Linked DNA regions of Saccharomyces cerevisiae S288C. The gene in region 2 interacts genetically with the main gene of each other region. Each region holds a gene or a part of one and is shown on either strand. Other genes may lie near its edges.

Region 1 (4,122 bases), on a different chromosome or scaffold from region 2:
TCGTCCAGTCATCATAACAATATGTGTTTTTGTTTTTGTTTTTGTTTTTGTTTTTGTTTTTGTTTTTGTTTTTATTTTATTTATTTTTTGCTTATTTTCGTAGTACACAACACATAATCATCTTATTGTTGACTAACAGGGAAGATTTGTTGTAACTCGCTACTACTTGTGACTTGATTATGGATAGCAATAGACAACAAAGTTTGCGCTTGGATTGGTGACAAGTACCCAGCAGAAATTGCACCTTGTGGAATACTTGTGTTACTTATGAACCCAATTCCTGAACCATCATGACCACTGGATCCATCACTTGCATAAACGACAGGGAAGTCGACCGATGTCCATGATGCCACGGTACTGTTGTGACTTGTACCAGAGCTGACAACAACCAAACCTTGGATACTAGAACTTAGTGATTGAATTAAGCTTTGAGAATATCCTTCTTCGTATATAATTGGAACCAATGGACTGGAGGATGATGAGGATGTATTGGTCCCGGAGGAGGCATTAGAAGATATTTGTGCGCTCGTAAAATTCGAGTATTGAGTTCTGATTGTGGAGTTGCTGGCAATCAGAGTTGGCTCACAGGCATCAAAGAACCATTGAACATTCTTCTGACCAGACAAAACGCCCACAGGAACAGTGTAAGGAGGGAAAACACCAGAATACACAACTTTATCTCTACCGGCAACCAAAGTGCCTCTACCTTCCGCGTCCGAACTACTCAATATTGGTACACCCCATAAGAAATTCTCAGTAATGACAATGGTCTTTGATGTATTAAAAACGATTGAGCAGAAGAAACTCAAAGTTTCAATGGAACGCCAGTTTGTGACGATTATAATGCCGGAAGACGATTCGCTTTGTAAAGTCTGATTAACTTGAGTAGCAATTTGGTAAAGTTGAGTGATGTTTAAGGTGGAAGTAGAGTTGAATAGCGTTGTGGTAGTAACGTTTGACTGGCTACCAGATACAGCAGGTCCACCCGTGATGATCACGGGGACCGTACCGCCGCCAGAAGTAACGTTCTGCCTCTTGTAAAGTGGTGTTGCAGAAGCTGTTAAAGTTGCAAGAAAAAATGCTAGCACTGATGTGAATTTCATAATAGCTGATTGGGTTCTTAGATGTGAAAACTGATCGAAATCAAATACTAGAGCATGATTGATAGGAACAAGAGAAACCAAAAGTGTTTTTAGCTTTCCTCCCAATTTTTATAGTATTCTAATGAGTAACGTCTTAGGGGAATTTTCAACAAGGCATTTCTAAAAGGGGATGCTAGTTGCACATTCTGAGAGAATCATTTGTACACGTTTTTCCCTATTTTCTGCTCATAAACCGAGGATCATCAGCGTTAAATGTAATTGCTAAGCCAAGAACTTTTGCTACTCTAACATTACATATTTGAAGGGTACAGTGAGATTCCCCAACAGGAATTCGCTTCTGTACATCAGCCGGTATTCGCTGAGAACTACTGTAGCCCTTAACTGTTGAATGATCTTTTTCTGGTAGATCATCGGCTTCTTTTGACGCAGGAAAAGGCCCGTGTCACTTCGGCTTAGCTTCTTTCGGCGATTTTCAAGGGAAGCGTCTGCACCTTAACGCAGACAAATGACGCATGATATGCACCCTTAAGGCGGACTTGATCTTCAGATCCCTCAAATGGTAAATGTGCCATAAGGTGGCCAAATTCCAACTAAAAATGATAAATAGGTAATGAATTGTTCACTATGCAGCGTTGCCACCGTTACGCCTCCCCCTTATTTTTCATTTCCGTTTCCATCCAGTTTTTCAGCCTCCTTGAACCCTACCATTAGTAATGGAAGCAATAATCTCATAGCAGCAATTGAAAAAAAAAAAGCATATTCGCTCACATTAAAATAATGAGATAACATGAGATGGCTTGGAATTATAAGCGTTCGCTGACCTGAAAAAGGCGCGGGGCTAATGGACCCATTCGTTAAAATGACCTTAAGCATCCACACATGCAGAATAAAAGAACTTAACCTATTCCTTAGGAAAGTTTATGTATTTGCTGGTACCCTCTTCCTTCTTTGGCCTCTTTTCTGACGTGAATGTCACATGTTAACATTTTTGTCAAATAGCGTCCATCTATTTGAACAAATGCTATCATTTTTGGGGATACAAATTCTATAAGAGGTTCCTGTTTGCAGCATCTAAAAACAGAGCGTGAAACGCATGCAGAAGTGACATATAATCCTTTGTTTAAGCGACAATTAAAAATAATGATCGCTCTCTTTTCCTTTTCAGACTTGCTCATTAAATTTGACAAGATCCGCGGATTAGAGAAGTCTGCGCTTCGCATTTAATGAAAAGATCTCCGATAAGTATATAAGTCCCTTTTTTCTCGAATTATATAAGTCACTTTCTATATGTCAGTGATTATCTCTACACTAGTCTTGCTGTATTCTTAGCAAATTTTTCTCGTATTTTAAAACCATAATACAAGGAGAATCCATGATGTCTTGTCTGGTACCAACACGTTTTACTTTGACCCTTAACACCGCGTGTCTTTTGACGAGCACCTGGGGGTTTGTTAGGGCCACATCTGTAGTCTTACCTCCAAGTTTAAGTAAAGCAGGCCATAAACAGTTTCTAACCATTATATCTATTATTGCAACAATCATTAATAACGCGGTTAACATTTCTAATTATTATATCCAAAGAAACAATAAGATGAATCTAGAAACCAAGAAAAAATCAGACTTTATTAGTAGACATGTCACTTTGCCAGTTTCTTTAGTATTAGAATCTATTGTTGCTACCGTTTATTGGCCGCTTAGATTGTTTTTTGTCAACTTAATAATGCATGGAGTTGAATCTACTGCAAAGACACCTTTTCCTATGACAGTGGATATGGCAATCCACTTATATCCTATTTTATATTTACTAGCCGATCACTACTTATCGGGATCTGGCACGAAATTCAAATTATCGAATAAGCATGCATGGCTCATTGTAACCAGTTTAGCATTTTCATATTTTCAATATTTAGCATTCCTGATAGATGCGGGGCAAGGCCAAGCCTATCCATACCCGTTTCTAGACGTGAACGAGCCGTACAAGTCGATTATATTTGTTGTTGTTGCTACTATTACGTGGGCTTATTATGTATTTTATCAAAAGTTTCCGCCAAAATACATCAAGAAGTCGGCAAAGAAAGGTGATAAGAATTAGCATTACTACTAGTATACTACTATTTAAGCTCTTTGTATGTAAAGTGAGCAAATCTCAAATTTTGCTACTTAATTCTTATTTTCGTGCTAGCCCTACAACGGAACCCAAAAAATCAATCACCAGGGTAAGCGGGAAAAAAAAAAAGTGTAGGAACCGCACTATAAAAAGTCGAAGGTTTGTATTAATTTTCCACACCTCTTTAGTTTTGTTATAATCAAATTCCTTTTGGTTTTTGTTTTAAAAAGGCCAACATCATAATTATATCGCGAATGTACTACTAGTATATGCAGTTTTCTTAAAATTGCAGGGAATGACTAAAAGCCCACGTTTTTCCCACTTTTAGTAGTACTGAAGCGTAGATAGATTGAACGTTGCTGGGCGCCTGGTGTTGATCATTTCTGAAATGAGATATTGGGAATCAGCTGTATCTACATTTTATTTATACATATTTATTTTTACTGGTTCTTAGTAACGTACTTTAGTAGCAATGCTGTGTTTTAGTGCGAACGCCTACGTGTCTTGTTAACTTATCATGGTTGCCAACGCGAACGTTTACAACAGGTTCAAAGGCAGGATGAAAAATTACGCCAAATAGGCAGGTTTTCAATATTAAAGAGTTAAGTATGCAAAATTTACAAAAAGTTAATGGTCAAAGTATAACTATAAAAATATAATAAAACAATAAACAATAACAACTCTCAGAATTGCAAAGCTTGACCCTTTTGCTTCTTTTCACCACCCAATTCGAAGTGCTTACATCTCTTCAAGGTTAATTGGGCTCTAGTCTTACATTTGACACATTCCAATCTCAAAACAACCTTCTTGGTAGTCTTAGCTTTCTTGTGGAAAACAGGCTTGGTTTGACCACCGAAACCAGATTGTTTACGGTCATAACGTCTCTTACCTTGAGCGAACAAGGAAGCCTTA
Region 2 (7,009 bases):
CACCAGCAATGAAGCATGATCGCGGGAAACTTTCAGAATCTACATCTTCTCCTGGTCAGCTTGAAACTTCAGATTATTCGTAAGGAGAAATTATAATATTATTTCTGTGATAAGAAAAGAGGCATTAAGCTTGGGTATTTGCGACAAAATACTTCAGGATAACCGATGATCGCAAGTGGGTTATTAATTTCTTTCATCCCTTAACCAACCGTCGCTTTCCCCCAGTGACAAGCCTTAAAAAAGTCACACCATGGAACGGAGTATCGTTGATGATTAAACCAATCATTAATCTTTCATAAAAGTTAAGATAAAAGCACTTGTTGATATATATAGGTACATGTGTATCAATACGCCATACATTGTAAATAGAATATTCAATGGATAAACGTGTGTAGCAAAAATAATCACATTGTAGCGCTAGTTAGCAATTTACTCATTGTCACATTTTTTGCAGTATATATTCATGGCATGAAATAATATAAAATGGCGCCGGTCTATATACCTATGCATCTTAATCTATATATATATATAAAACAGAAACCTACGGTAACAGAGCTGTTTCATGTTTTTTGCTTTTTCTCAACGGTGGACGAAGTATCTTCTCCATTCAACTTCCTTTTTAATTTCTGAATCAGTGTTGATGGATTTTGACAATAATAGTTTTTTGCCGCAATTTTCTTGGCCTCTTCAGTACTCGGAGGTTTACAATCTTCAATAATACTTTTACACTCGCGTATTATGGTTAGTAACTTCGCGGAGTCTATCGAATATTCTTCGCTCTCTGTGGACTTCTCTTTGTTTTTCTCAGTTGTACTGGCATCATTTTGTGGTTCTTCTTTTTCGTTTCCCGGTACTGATTCCTGGCTACCTTCTCTGCTGGGAAATTTTGTTTCTAAATACCTTGTGACCAAGGCTTCATCCTCAATCAATAATGTTGCTAGTGTTATTTGGGGTGGAGTGTAGAAATATACGACATCGGTTAATAATGCGGCAGTTATTCTCTTCTTACACCTATCGTATATTTGGCCCATGTAATTTAAATCAACCTTACCATAAAGGACGTTCTGGATATCTAAGAAAAACCCATGAAGCGGTTTGTAAGGATGATGGTTCAACAGTGAAAATTTCAATGATTCTAACAACTTAAACTCGAATTTGAGAACACTATCTCTAGTAGATTTGGCCTTTTGAGCAAACGAGTCCACGCTAATAAAATAGTTCTCCGATTTGCAGGCTAGAAAGATAGTAGTATGTACAATACTTTTAGGATCTATTTGCATAACAGAATTTTCTAAGAAAAAACGCCTAAAAAAGGATATCGCAGTGGCCACTACTTCGGTTGGCAAATTTAGATGCTGTGCTATTACCTGAACTTTTTTTGCGTAGAAATTCACCAAATCGAGTTCTTCTTCCATTGTCAAAGGGATAGCCTTTGCTTCTAGTACTTTTATTTCTTCTTCTGTTAAATTGTGTGCTTCTCTAAATTTTAATAAATTTTCCTCAATGTAAGCAATCGCTCGGGCATTGGTATCTACCCTTTTCTCCTGAAGTTGATCTTTAGTGTATGACCACATTCTATACTGAGAAGAGTGCCTATATAAATCATCGTCAGAAATTCTTTTGTAGTTCGGTGGCTTGTTATTCTCATCAGCCGATTTTAATTTTGCCTCTTTTTCTTTTGCTGACATGGTAGCAGAAGGAGTATCTAATGTACTCTTTCCATTTAGTTGAATATCCGTCATTCTATCAATATCTGTGCAGCACAGTATTTTCCTCTCTTAAACTTAATATTCACTCATTTGTTTGAGATCTTTCTTAATATAAAAACTGTGTTAAGATCAAATTTATTACCCGGATTGTGAACGGCTTAAACAACGAAGGGATACCGCAGGAAATGAGAGGCCCTTTCTTCTCTGGATGGCAAACAGTTCGTGCTATCAAAGTCTGTACCAAGGTTATTTCACTCTTCAAGCCAGCAATAACTACTTTCTTTCAGGTCACCTCTCAGCCGTCACGTCTCTAGCTGAAGCTTTGTTATTCTCGCTTCACTAAAAACAAGTGTATCTACAATATTTACCAGTCTATTCGTATATCCCTTATCATTCTTTTTCAATAAGGGCAAATACTTCGGAAAAAGAAAGGAACATTCATCTTGATTCTAGCCGTAAAGCTATCACGTTCACTCTAAGCAAGCGGAAAGTTGAGCAAAATCAACGAACAATCTGAGTCAGCAAGGCAGTACAAGCATCTCTTCTTTGCCCCTCAAAATTTATTTCCTTTTTGGTATAGTCTTACTTCCAAGTCCAAGCAAGCACTACGTATCACGACAAACCAACAGCCGCGCCGTTTTTATATTCGGAAAGAGAATTCTTGTCGTTATTGAATAATAATAACAAAATTTCTCCACTTTTCACCATATTACCACTCCCTTTTTTTCAAGTAAAAAAAAAAAAAAAAAGAATCTTATTGCTCCTTAAAAAAGGATTCATCAGTCCTTTATGAGAGCCTGCTAGTATCACCTAATATTGCATCTGTTTTTACCGAAATTTCCTCATTCCAATAATGAAAAGAATAAGATCGCTTTGGTTCAATGCGGAGGCTTCTTATTCAAACCTTAACAATTCTCCTAGTTTGAGGAACAAAAATAGTACCGGTAATAACTCTCGCTCTAAAAATTATCGTTCTTTCTCAAGGTTTGACTTGATCAACTCTATACTTTTACTGATGATGCTATTTTTATTAGCTATCTTCGTCACTGCATTATATTTAACAAAGAGTTCCAGGCTTACATACTCACATGCCTCGAGGGCTGCCCTATTTAACCCTCTGGGTGTGATATCGCCGTCATTGGGAAATCATACGTTGAACTACGATCCAGAAGCAAGGGAATCTTCTAAAAAACTTTATGAACTCCTTTCTGATTTCAACACGGCATATTATGATGATGAGAACATGATTTTGGGAAGTAACTTGTTCTCAAAGAATACATACTCGAGACAACCATATGTTGCTAACGGTTATATAGGTAGTCGTATTCCCAATATTGGGTTCGGCTATGCCTTAGACACCCTGAATTTTTACACAGACGCACCAGGCGCTTTGAATAACGGTTGGCCCTTAAGAAATCATAGATTTGCCGGTGCGTTTGTATCGGACTTTTATTGTCTACAACCAAAACTAAATTCAACAAACTTCCCAGAATTGGATGATGTAGGATATTCCACTGTCATTTCATCTATTCCACAATGGACCAATCTACAGTTCTCATTAGTGAATGATTCTAAGTGGTTCAATCCACAAAATGTTACGTTGGATGACGTAACTAATTATAGCCAAAACTTATCAATGAAGGATGGTATCGTAACTACGGAGTTAGATTGGCTAAACAGTCAAATACATGTTAAAAGTGAAATCTGGGCACATCGGCACATTCATCCACTGGGAGTGGTTTCTTTGGAAATTTCCCTGAATACGGACCATTTACCTTCGGATTTTGATTCATTAGATGTTAATATATGGGATATACTTGATTTCAACACATCACATAGGACTGTTCTACATAGCACGGGAACAGACGAAAAAAATAATGCGGTTTTCATGATTGTTCAGCCAGATAACGTTCCATCTTCTAATTGCGCTATTTACTCAACGTGTACTGTAAAGTATGAAAATTCCACCAATCCAATAAATTCTAGTGAATCTTTTGAAGAAAAAGATGTTTCTTCTAATATTTATAATGTTATTTTGACAGAGGACCAACCCAAGATAATCGTTCATAAGTATGTTGGTATTATGTCTACTGAGTTCAATAAGAACAAAGAACAACAAGACAATACTAATATTGGTTTGGCCAAAATGATAGCTCTAAACAGTAAAGGCAATTACGAGAAGCTTCTGTCAAGTCACAAACGTGCGTGGTATGACCTTTACAACGACGCCTTCATTGAAATTCCTTCTGACAGTCTTTTAGAAATGACAGCAAGATCGTCCCTATTCCATTTACTAGCAAATACAAGAGATTACAATGTCTCGAGCGATAGGGGTCTTCCCGTGGGAGTTTCTGGTTTGTCATCAGATTCCTATGGTGGTATGGTGTTCTGGGACGCAGATATATGGATGGAACCTGCCCTATTGCCTTTCTTCCCAAATGTGGCTCAAAATATGAATAATTACAGAAATGCTACACATTCGCAGGCAAAGTTAAATGCAGAGAAATATGGATACCCCGGAGCAATATACCCCTGGACATCTGGTAAGTACGCTAATTGTACTTCTACGGGACCTTGTGTCGATTACGAATACCATATTAACGTTGATGTCGCTATGGCCTCCTTTTCCATATACTTGAATGGACACGAAGGGATTGATGACGAGTATCTGAGATATACTACATGGCCAATTATCAAAAACGCAGCCCAATTTTTTACTGCTTATGTTAAGTACAATTCTTCCCTAGGATTGTATGAAACATATAATTTGACAGATCCCGACGAGTTTGCTAATCACATCAATAACGGGGCTTTCACGAATGCTGGCATTAAAACACTTCTAAAGTGGGCAACAGACATTGGCAATCATCTCGGCGAGGTCGTTGACCCCAAATGGAGTGAAATTTCCAAAGATATTTATATCCCTAGATCCTCATCTAACATCACTTTGGAATATTCTGGTATGAATAGCTCAGTGGAGATTAAACAGGCGGATGTGACTTTAATGGTTTACCCACTTGGATATATCAATGATGAATCCATATTGAACAATGCAATTAAAGATCTTTATTATTATTCAGAAAGACAGTCTGCGTCTGGGCCTGCAATGACATATCCGGTTTTTGTGGCCGCAGCTGCTGGTCTGCTGAATCACGGCTCTTCTTCTCAAAGTTACTTATATAAATCGGTTCTTCCATACTTACGGGCTCCTTTCGCTCAATTTAGTGAGCAATCAGACGACAACTTTTTAACAAACGGATTAACCCAGCCAGCATTCCCCTTTTTAACAGCTAACGGTGGATTTCTACAGAGCATTCTGTTTGGGTTAACAGGAATCCGATATTCTTATGAGGTTGATCCAGATACTAAAAAAATTAACCGTTTGTTAAGGTTCAATCCAATAGAACTACCGTTGCTCCCTGGTGGTATCGCTATTAGAAACTTCAAATATATGAACCAAGTTTTAGATATAATAATTGACGACCACAATGGTACGATTGTTCATAAATCAGGAGATGTTCCTATTCATATAAAGATACCAAACAGATCTCTAATACATGACCAGGATATCAACTTCTATAATGGTTCCGAAAACGAAAGAAAACCAAATCTAGAGCGTAGAGACGTCGACCGTGTTGGTGATCCAATGAGGATGGATAGGTATGGTACCTATTATCTTTTAAAACCGAAACAAGAGCTTACAGTCCAACTGTTCAAGCCTGGCTTAAACGCAAGAAACAACATAGCGGAAAATAAGCAAATAACAAACTTGACGGCCGGCGTTCCTGGTGACGTTGCATTCTCTGCTCTAGATGGGAATAATTACACGCATTGGCAACCCTTAGACAAAATTCACCGTGCGAAGCTATTGATTGATTTAGGTGAATACAACGAGAAAGAGATTACCAAGGGAATGATTCTTTGGGGGCAGAGGCCCGCAAAAAACATTTCCATATCTATTTTGCCTCATTCTGAAAAAGTCGAAAATTTATTTGCGAACGTGACAGAAATTATGCAAAATTCGGGAAATGATCAACTTCTTAATGAAACCATTGGTCAGCTTTTAGATAATGCCGGAATTCCTGTCGAGAACGTTATTGATTTTGATGGCATAGAACAAGAGGATGATGAATCTTTGGATGATGTGCAAGCCTTATTGCACTGGAAGAAGGAAGACTTAGCCAAGCTAATTGAACAAATACCCAGACTTAACTTTCTAAAAAGAAAATTTGTGAAAATTCTGGATAACGTGCCAGTGAGCCCAAGTGAGCCATACTACGAAGCAAGTCGCAACCAGTCGTTAATCGAGATATTACCCAGTAATAGAACGACTTTCACTATTGATTATGATAAATTGCAGGTGGGTGATAAAGGGAACACAGATTGGAGGAAAACAAGATACATAGTTGTGGCAGTACAAGGAGTGTATGATGATTATGATGATGATAACAAAGGAGCTACAATCAAGGAAATTGTTCTCAATGATTAAATGAAATGATGCATATAAGTAGCGCTTTTTTTAATATTATAAGTTTGGATAAAAGTTACCAATTTTTTCGTAGGATATATATTTTAAAGGCACTATATTGAAAATATCATGCATGCTTATATAAAAGCTTTTTTTTTTCTATAGGGTGACATTTAGGAGCAATAATTTTTACTACAAGCTTTTTTTGCACCTTATATAGTAGTGACCTTGAAATTGGTCTTTTGCACCAGCGTACTTTAATTCCACTAAGTACTGTTTAGCAGCCTGTTTTCCAGAGCCCACAACAGTTTTCTATAAAATTTTCACATGCATTATATAGACATGATCTACCTACCAATTTGATCTTCCTGCCATTGAGATCAGTTCTTTCATTACATTGATTGCACATTTTTAATTGGCGCCTTTTCTAATTTTTTGTATGAGTCCATATTAAAAAAATAGACTTCAAATTCCTACTAGACGATTCTGATTCCATCGGGATTACCACCAGATTTGATATTGGCTCTTCTCTCGTCAGTAGGGTTTGAACAGAAATATTCCTAAATTTCTCGCAACTTAAATTAAATTTGCAACGATAATGTTTGCATACATTTTTATATTCTAGATTCAATACATTAGAGGTAACTTGATGTAGCGCCAATCTGAAAATACAGAAGCCTACTAGGCAAATATTTAAAGCTCTATATACTATTCACGAAAGAAAAACGTACTTTGTATAAATTGAAGAAAATGAGTTTGTGTTAGTTGGGTCCTGCCATTTGGTATCCTGAAGGTTTTCTCAAGGTGGGGTGGGCTAATCTACAGGAATAGT
Region 3 (5,276 bases), on a different chromosome or scaffold from region 2:
AACGCTGGGTTCAATAAAAGAGTTTTCGTCATCGGATATAATCATGGGTTTAAATTCTAAAGGATCATGAAGATCCTCTTGCAGTTCTTGTTCCGTTTCCTCGTTCATAGTTGTTGGTATTAATGGAACATTGTTATGCCGTTGCTTTAATGATGTAGTATGCATTTTAGATAATACTTTGCCATGATAATCGTTTTTTGATTTACCGCCGCTTTCACTTTTTTTCTCTTGTGATCCTGCTTTCTTAGTAGTTTTATTCCTATGCATTAGACTAGTTTTGTTGTTTCGAGTAGGCAAAGAATATGCTCTACCACCTCGTTGGTTTGAGCGGTTGCTCAGACTGTATCTAGGAGGCTCTACTTCCACGGGTACTTCCACAGCCATTAACCCCCTAGGGCCTGGTATGTATTTTTTTATCGTCCTTATTGTGCTGCCTGAGTTCCCAAGTGATGTGGTCCTTGATTTACTATTCTGACCAGTCGAACTTGAAATGTTTAAAACCTTCGATGACTGCTTGCCTCCAAATTCTCGAAACGTGGTTTCTGCATCCTCGTGAGCCCTGTGTTGCCTTCTCCCCGCCGAATTATTAGAGGTATTCTTATGTCCTTGGTTTGGCAAACTCGACGTGCGCTTAGAGTATTGGCGAACGTTACCATTCATTAAGAGCATCCTTGAGTTAGTCCTAGAATTCGAGAGCATTGTATACCTATTAATCCCTGCGATTGACGTAGTTCGAGAGGTAAAACTCTGATTGTATTGCGGTATTTTACTCTTGTCAACGGTCCTCCCATTATAACTGAGCGCATTTCCAATTGCTGCTGCTGCTGCTAAGGCATCTGGACTACTTTCTTGGATCATCCCGCTATTTCCAATGCTCCCACTATTTGTTGATACTTGCCTCTTTCAGAGCTATCTGCCTTATGTTGATTATTAGGGTTAATAAATGCTATTTCCTCCCGCAATAATTGTGTAATTTGAACGAAGAATATGAAGAAGATGGAATGGCGATTTTCACTCTAAATTTTAAAAATTGCCTCTTTACAATAGCGAATTTCCTAACCCTTTTTTTTTTTTGTTGATTGCCTATTGCTCGTTCACTTCCCATTTATTTTCTCTCGAATTTCACCAAAAGTTGATGTGGATAATCAATCATCGGGCCTATTCCTGCGGGTAAAACGCAGGGCCCAACTCAGGATAGGGTTTAATATTATTTTAGAGGACTTACAAGAAGGAAGTTATATGGTTTAAAAATTGTAACAAAGTTAGAACACATTTATTTAGCAGGTCTAATTTAGGGCTGCAACTATCTTTTTGGTTATTCATATAAAATATAATTTTTTATTTATATAGAGAATACAAGTGGAATCATCTTTAACGCCAGCTTGTAGTGCGCATTGCAGAATAATGGAAGTTCAAAAATTAAAAGCGAAGGAGAAGTGATAGTAGAAAGACGGATGGGAGGCTGGGGGACGAAGAGAAAGTAAAAGGGTTAATTTATTCGACGGTAACAGATTTAGCCAAGTTTCTTGGAAAATCAACATCAATCCCTTTATTAACAGCCAACCAATATGACATTAGTTGTAATGGAATAATATTAATTAGACCTTGTAAACAATCAACAGTTTGTGGAACTTCTAAGGTTTGCAGGTCGATTGATTTAGATTTTTGCGCCCACACTTCATCATTTTCGTTACAAATAATAATTGGATGGCCCTTTCTTGCAGTAACTTGCTCAATAGAGGAAACTACTTTAGGGAATAGAGAGTCTCTGGTACCAAAAGCAATGATTGGCAAGTTTTCGTCCACCAAGGCCAAGACACCGTGCTTCAACTCACCTGCCAAAACACCTTCAGAATGCATATAAGAAATTTCTTTGATCTTCAAAGCACCTTCCAGAGCAGCAGCAAATTGGTAACCTCTACCCAATAACAATAGAGATTTTTGATCCTTTAATTCAGTCGCACAGAGCTTTTTTATTCTTGGTTCCAGCTTTAATACCTGCTTAATTTGGCCCGGGATTAACTTCAAGCCTTGAATGATTTCAATTCTTCTGTCTATTTTCGATACACGGTCATCTGACAGCGATAGAGCAAACATCACTAAGGCAATATACTGGGAAGTATAAGCTTTTGTAGAGGCAACACCAATTTCAGGACCAGCGTTAATATGAACACCACAGTGGGTGACACGAGAGATAGAAGAACCAACACTGTTAACAATTCCGACAGTTAAGGCTCCTCTTTCTAAACAATAATTTAGAGCCAGCATGGTATCCGCAGTTTCACCACTTTGTGAAACAAACACGCATACATCGTCTCTGAAGACAGGGCATTTTCTGTCCAGAAAGTCAGACGCTAATTCCACACTAACTGGGATATCTGATAATTCTTCGAAGATAGCACGAGTAGCCAAACATGAATGATAAGAAGTACCGCATGCGATCATGATCAGTCTCCGTGCTCTTCTGACAACTGGTAACCATGCCTTTAAACCACCCAATATCACTTTATTATTTTCATAGTCGATTCTACCTCTCATAGTATTGAAAGTAGATTCTGGTTGCTCATAGATTTCCTTTTGCATAAAATGGTCGTAAGGGCCCTTCATGATCTGAGCTAACTCCATCTCTAAAGTTTGAATGGACCTTGTCATTGATGCGCCTACTTCTCTTCTAGATCTATGAATATGTAACTCACCATCGTAAATATGAGCCAAATCGTCATCTTCTAAAAATAGCACCTTCTTGGTATGTTTAACAACAGATGCCGCATCCGAAGAAACAAAAAATTCCACCGGTGTTGGAGATCCATCTTCTGATAGGAAAGCCCTGGATTGAGAATGTCTCAAGTTAAATTCATTGGCGGCAATTGGTAGTAAATTGGCATTTTGGGAACCAGCTTCAAATTCACGAGCTTTCTTTGGGCCCAAGCCAAATGATTTGTTGTTAGATTTCAATGGAATTTCCGGTTGACCAGCGTTTTCTTCGGGAAATTCCACATCCACGAAGTCGACTTTTAGTTTTTTTTCAGATTTGACACCAATCAGTAAAGGGGACCCTTTTCTAGTGGCGATAACCTCATTAGGATAGTGACAAGATTTACATAATAACCCGTATGAACCTTCTAGTTCTAAAAGAACTAGCTTGGTTAATTCGTGGAAATCTAAGTCATGCCCATTTTGTAAATTTGTATTGTATAAATGCAAATATAGTTTAGCAATACACTCGGTATCGGTATCACTTTCGAATTTATAACCTTTGTTAATTAAAAGAGTCTTCAGTTCTCTAAAATTTGTGATGATACCATTATGAACGACCACAAATTGGTCTTCTGGGTCAGATCTTTGAGGGTGACAGTTAACTTGTTCTGGTCGACCGTGAGTAGCCCATCTAGTATGCGCAATACCACAATGAGAGACAAAAGTAACGTCTCTGTTCGGATTTTGCTTAGTAATCTCCTCTTTCAAAGCACTCACTTTACCGATTTGCTTATAGATGAAAGTAGAATCAGCTTCGTCACCATCGATAGCAATACCGGTGGAATCATAGCCTCTATATTCTAATCTTTGTAAACCATCCACTAAGGTGTCGATAATTTCTCCTCTGGATCTTTCCACTAGATAATTGCAGTAACCAAAGATACCACACATTTTTTTATAAAAGTTGCTGTTGATTTGCTCGAGAACTTATTGCTTATTTGGCCCTGATAACTATATAAGAAAAGAAATACAGTTATTCCTTGTTTATGCTGGCTTTTTGTCCACTTTTTCTCAACTATATAACTATGATGTTGGAAAGGACACCGGTTCTGTAACTTTGCAGTGAAAATAAGTGTGATGGATGACTGAGAATGCTTTCTTGTAAGCGAAAAGAAGTACGTGTTCCAAAAATAAAGCAGAAAGGCGAAAAGGGTCGAATGTAAGACACTAAATAAATATTTTAAGAAGAGGAAAAGTCGCCTCAGAAACGCTAAAATGCATCCGATTTCCCAAAGAGGAAGTCTAATGTTTTCGATTTGTGAAAAAAAGATAAAAATCGAAGAAAATGTAGGGAGCCGCGCGTTACCCGGATTGATATTTGAGTGATCGACGGCGTCACAAAAGAAAGAATGCTTGGCTAATCAAGAAAAGTATGTGGTTTGTTTCATCTAATACGGCTGTCAAGGCCCACATTGGTGTTCAAATGCATTTTTTATAGTTCGTGGTTACTGTTAATATTCTTTCCTAGTAGAATGTTTGGGGTTTAGGTATTTTTGATGTTTTATTTATAAATAGATATTTATATCTTGACGATTGTGGTGTTTTATTTTTTTTTTTTTATACATTTTTCTTTTCTTCCTGATTCGAAATAAAAGTATTTTTAGAAAAAGGATAAAGAAACAGAAATCAAAAGAAATAAAAAGAGTGTGGCAAAATCACAACTCGCCGAATTCATCGTAGACTGATCTCCAGTGCTTGAAAAATCCGTTGAAGAACTTAACACCTAATCCGACATCCTTGGACCCTGTAGCAGCTCTGATGCTGTGCATGGACAACTGTGCAATTCCCAGGTCTATGGTACGAGCACCTGTTTGAGAAGCCAATGATGGGCCGATAGTACCACCTGATCTTGAGTTGTTTTTGATTTGGAAATATTGCACTTTGTCTCCATTGCGGCGTGCTAATTCTTCTACTAGGGCAGTTCCTACGACATCTGTGGCCATATGACCGTTAGGATCCAGTGATAAAGTGATTCCGACATTAGGCACTGGAAAATGATTCTTCAAATAGACTTCAGGAAAGTTTGGGTTGTAGAGGTGGTTGACGTCTGCGGACAAGATGATGGAATTAGCCCAAACCGTATGCAAATCGACCGGTTTCTTAGTGAATGCAGAAGAACTGCGTTCCACCACTGACTCCAACAAGCCACCTTTTGCGCCTTGTCTTGTCAACGATCCGATTTCTTCATTATCATACAAAGTGACAGTAGAGAATAAATCTGATTCCTCGGTATTAACATCCTTAGCGTAGCAAATCAAAGCAATCATTGCTGCGAAACTACACAACCTGTCATCTAGACGTGGTGCAAAAAGGAAGTGTTTACCAATACCTCCAATGGTACCCTTTTGCACATCGAATAAGTCTAAATCCATTTGAATCAATTCGGACACTTCCACACCGGCTAATTTGGCAACGTACCTTAACAGGTGGATGCAGTGTTTGCCAAATAAGGGCGATTTCTTTTCATCATCCGTGGGAGGTTCATTACCTTCCTCATCCGGAGTGGGGAAGCCGATGAC

The links.
Region 1: mutations in ATH1 (region 2) and YHR140W together harm fitness more than expected from each alone (negative genetic interaction), as found in Saccharomyces cerevisiae (one large-scale study listed by BioGRID).
Region 3: mutations in ATH1 (region 2) and GFA1 together harm fitness more than expected from each alone (negative genetic interaction), as found in Saccharomyces cerevisiae (one large-scale study listed by BioGRID).

What each region holds. Positions count from the first base shown.
Region 1 is NC_001140.6:378,097-382,218, forward strand, and holds YHR140W (uncharacterized protein), read left to right. Parts: upstream 1-2,475; coding exon 2,476-3,195; downstream 3,196-4,122. Other genes in the region: SPS100 (Sps100p), read right to left, coding at 123-1,103; YHR139C-A (uncharacterized protein), read right to left, coding at 2,012-2,323; 60S ribosomal protein eL42 RPL42B, read right to left, coding at 3,894-4,122.
Region 2 is NC_001148.4:612,817-619,825, forward strand, and holds ATH1 (alpha,alpha-trehalase ATH1), read left to right. Parts: upstream 1-2,562; coding exon 2,563-6,198; downstream 6,199-7,009. Other genes in the region: TFIIH complex kinase subunit CCL1, read right to left, coding at 561-1,742.
Region 3 is NC_001143.9:241,726-247,001, forward strand, and holds GFA1 (glutamine--fructose-6-phosphate transaminase (isomerizing) GFA1), read right to left. Parts: upstream 3,649-5,276; coding exon 1,495-3,648; downstream 1-1,494. Other genes in the region: SEG2 (Seg2p), read right to left, coding at 1-858; YKL104W-A (uncharacterized protein), read left to right, coding at 3,307-3,561; metalloaminopeptidase APE1, read right to left, coding at 4,413-5,276. UniProt on the Saccharomyces cerevisiae protein: Involved in amino sugar synthesis (formation of chitin, supplies the amino sugars of asparagine-linked oligosaccharides of glycoproteins).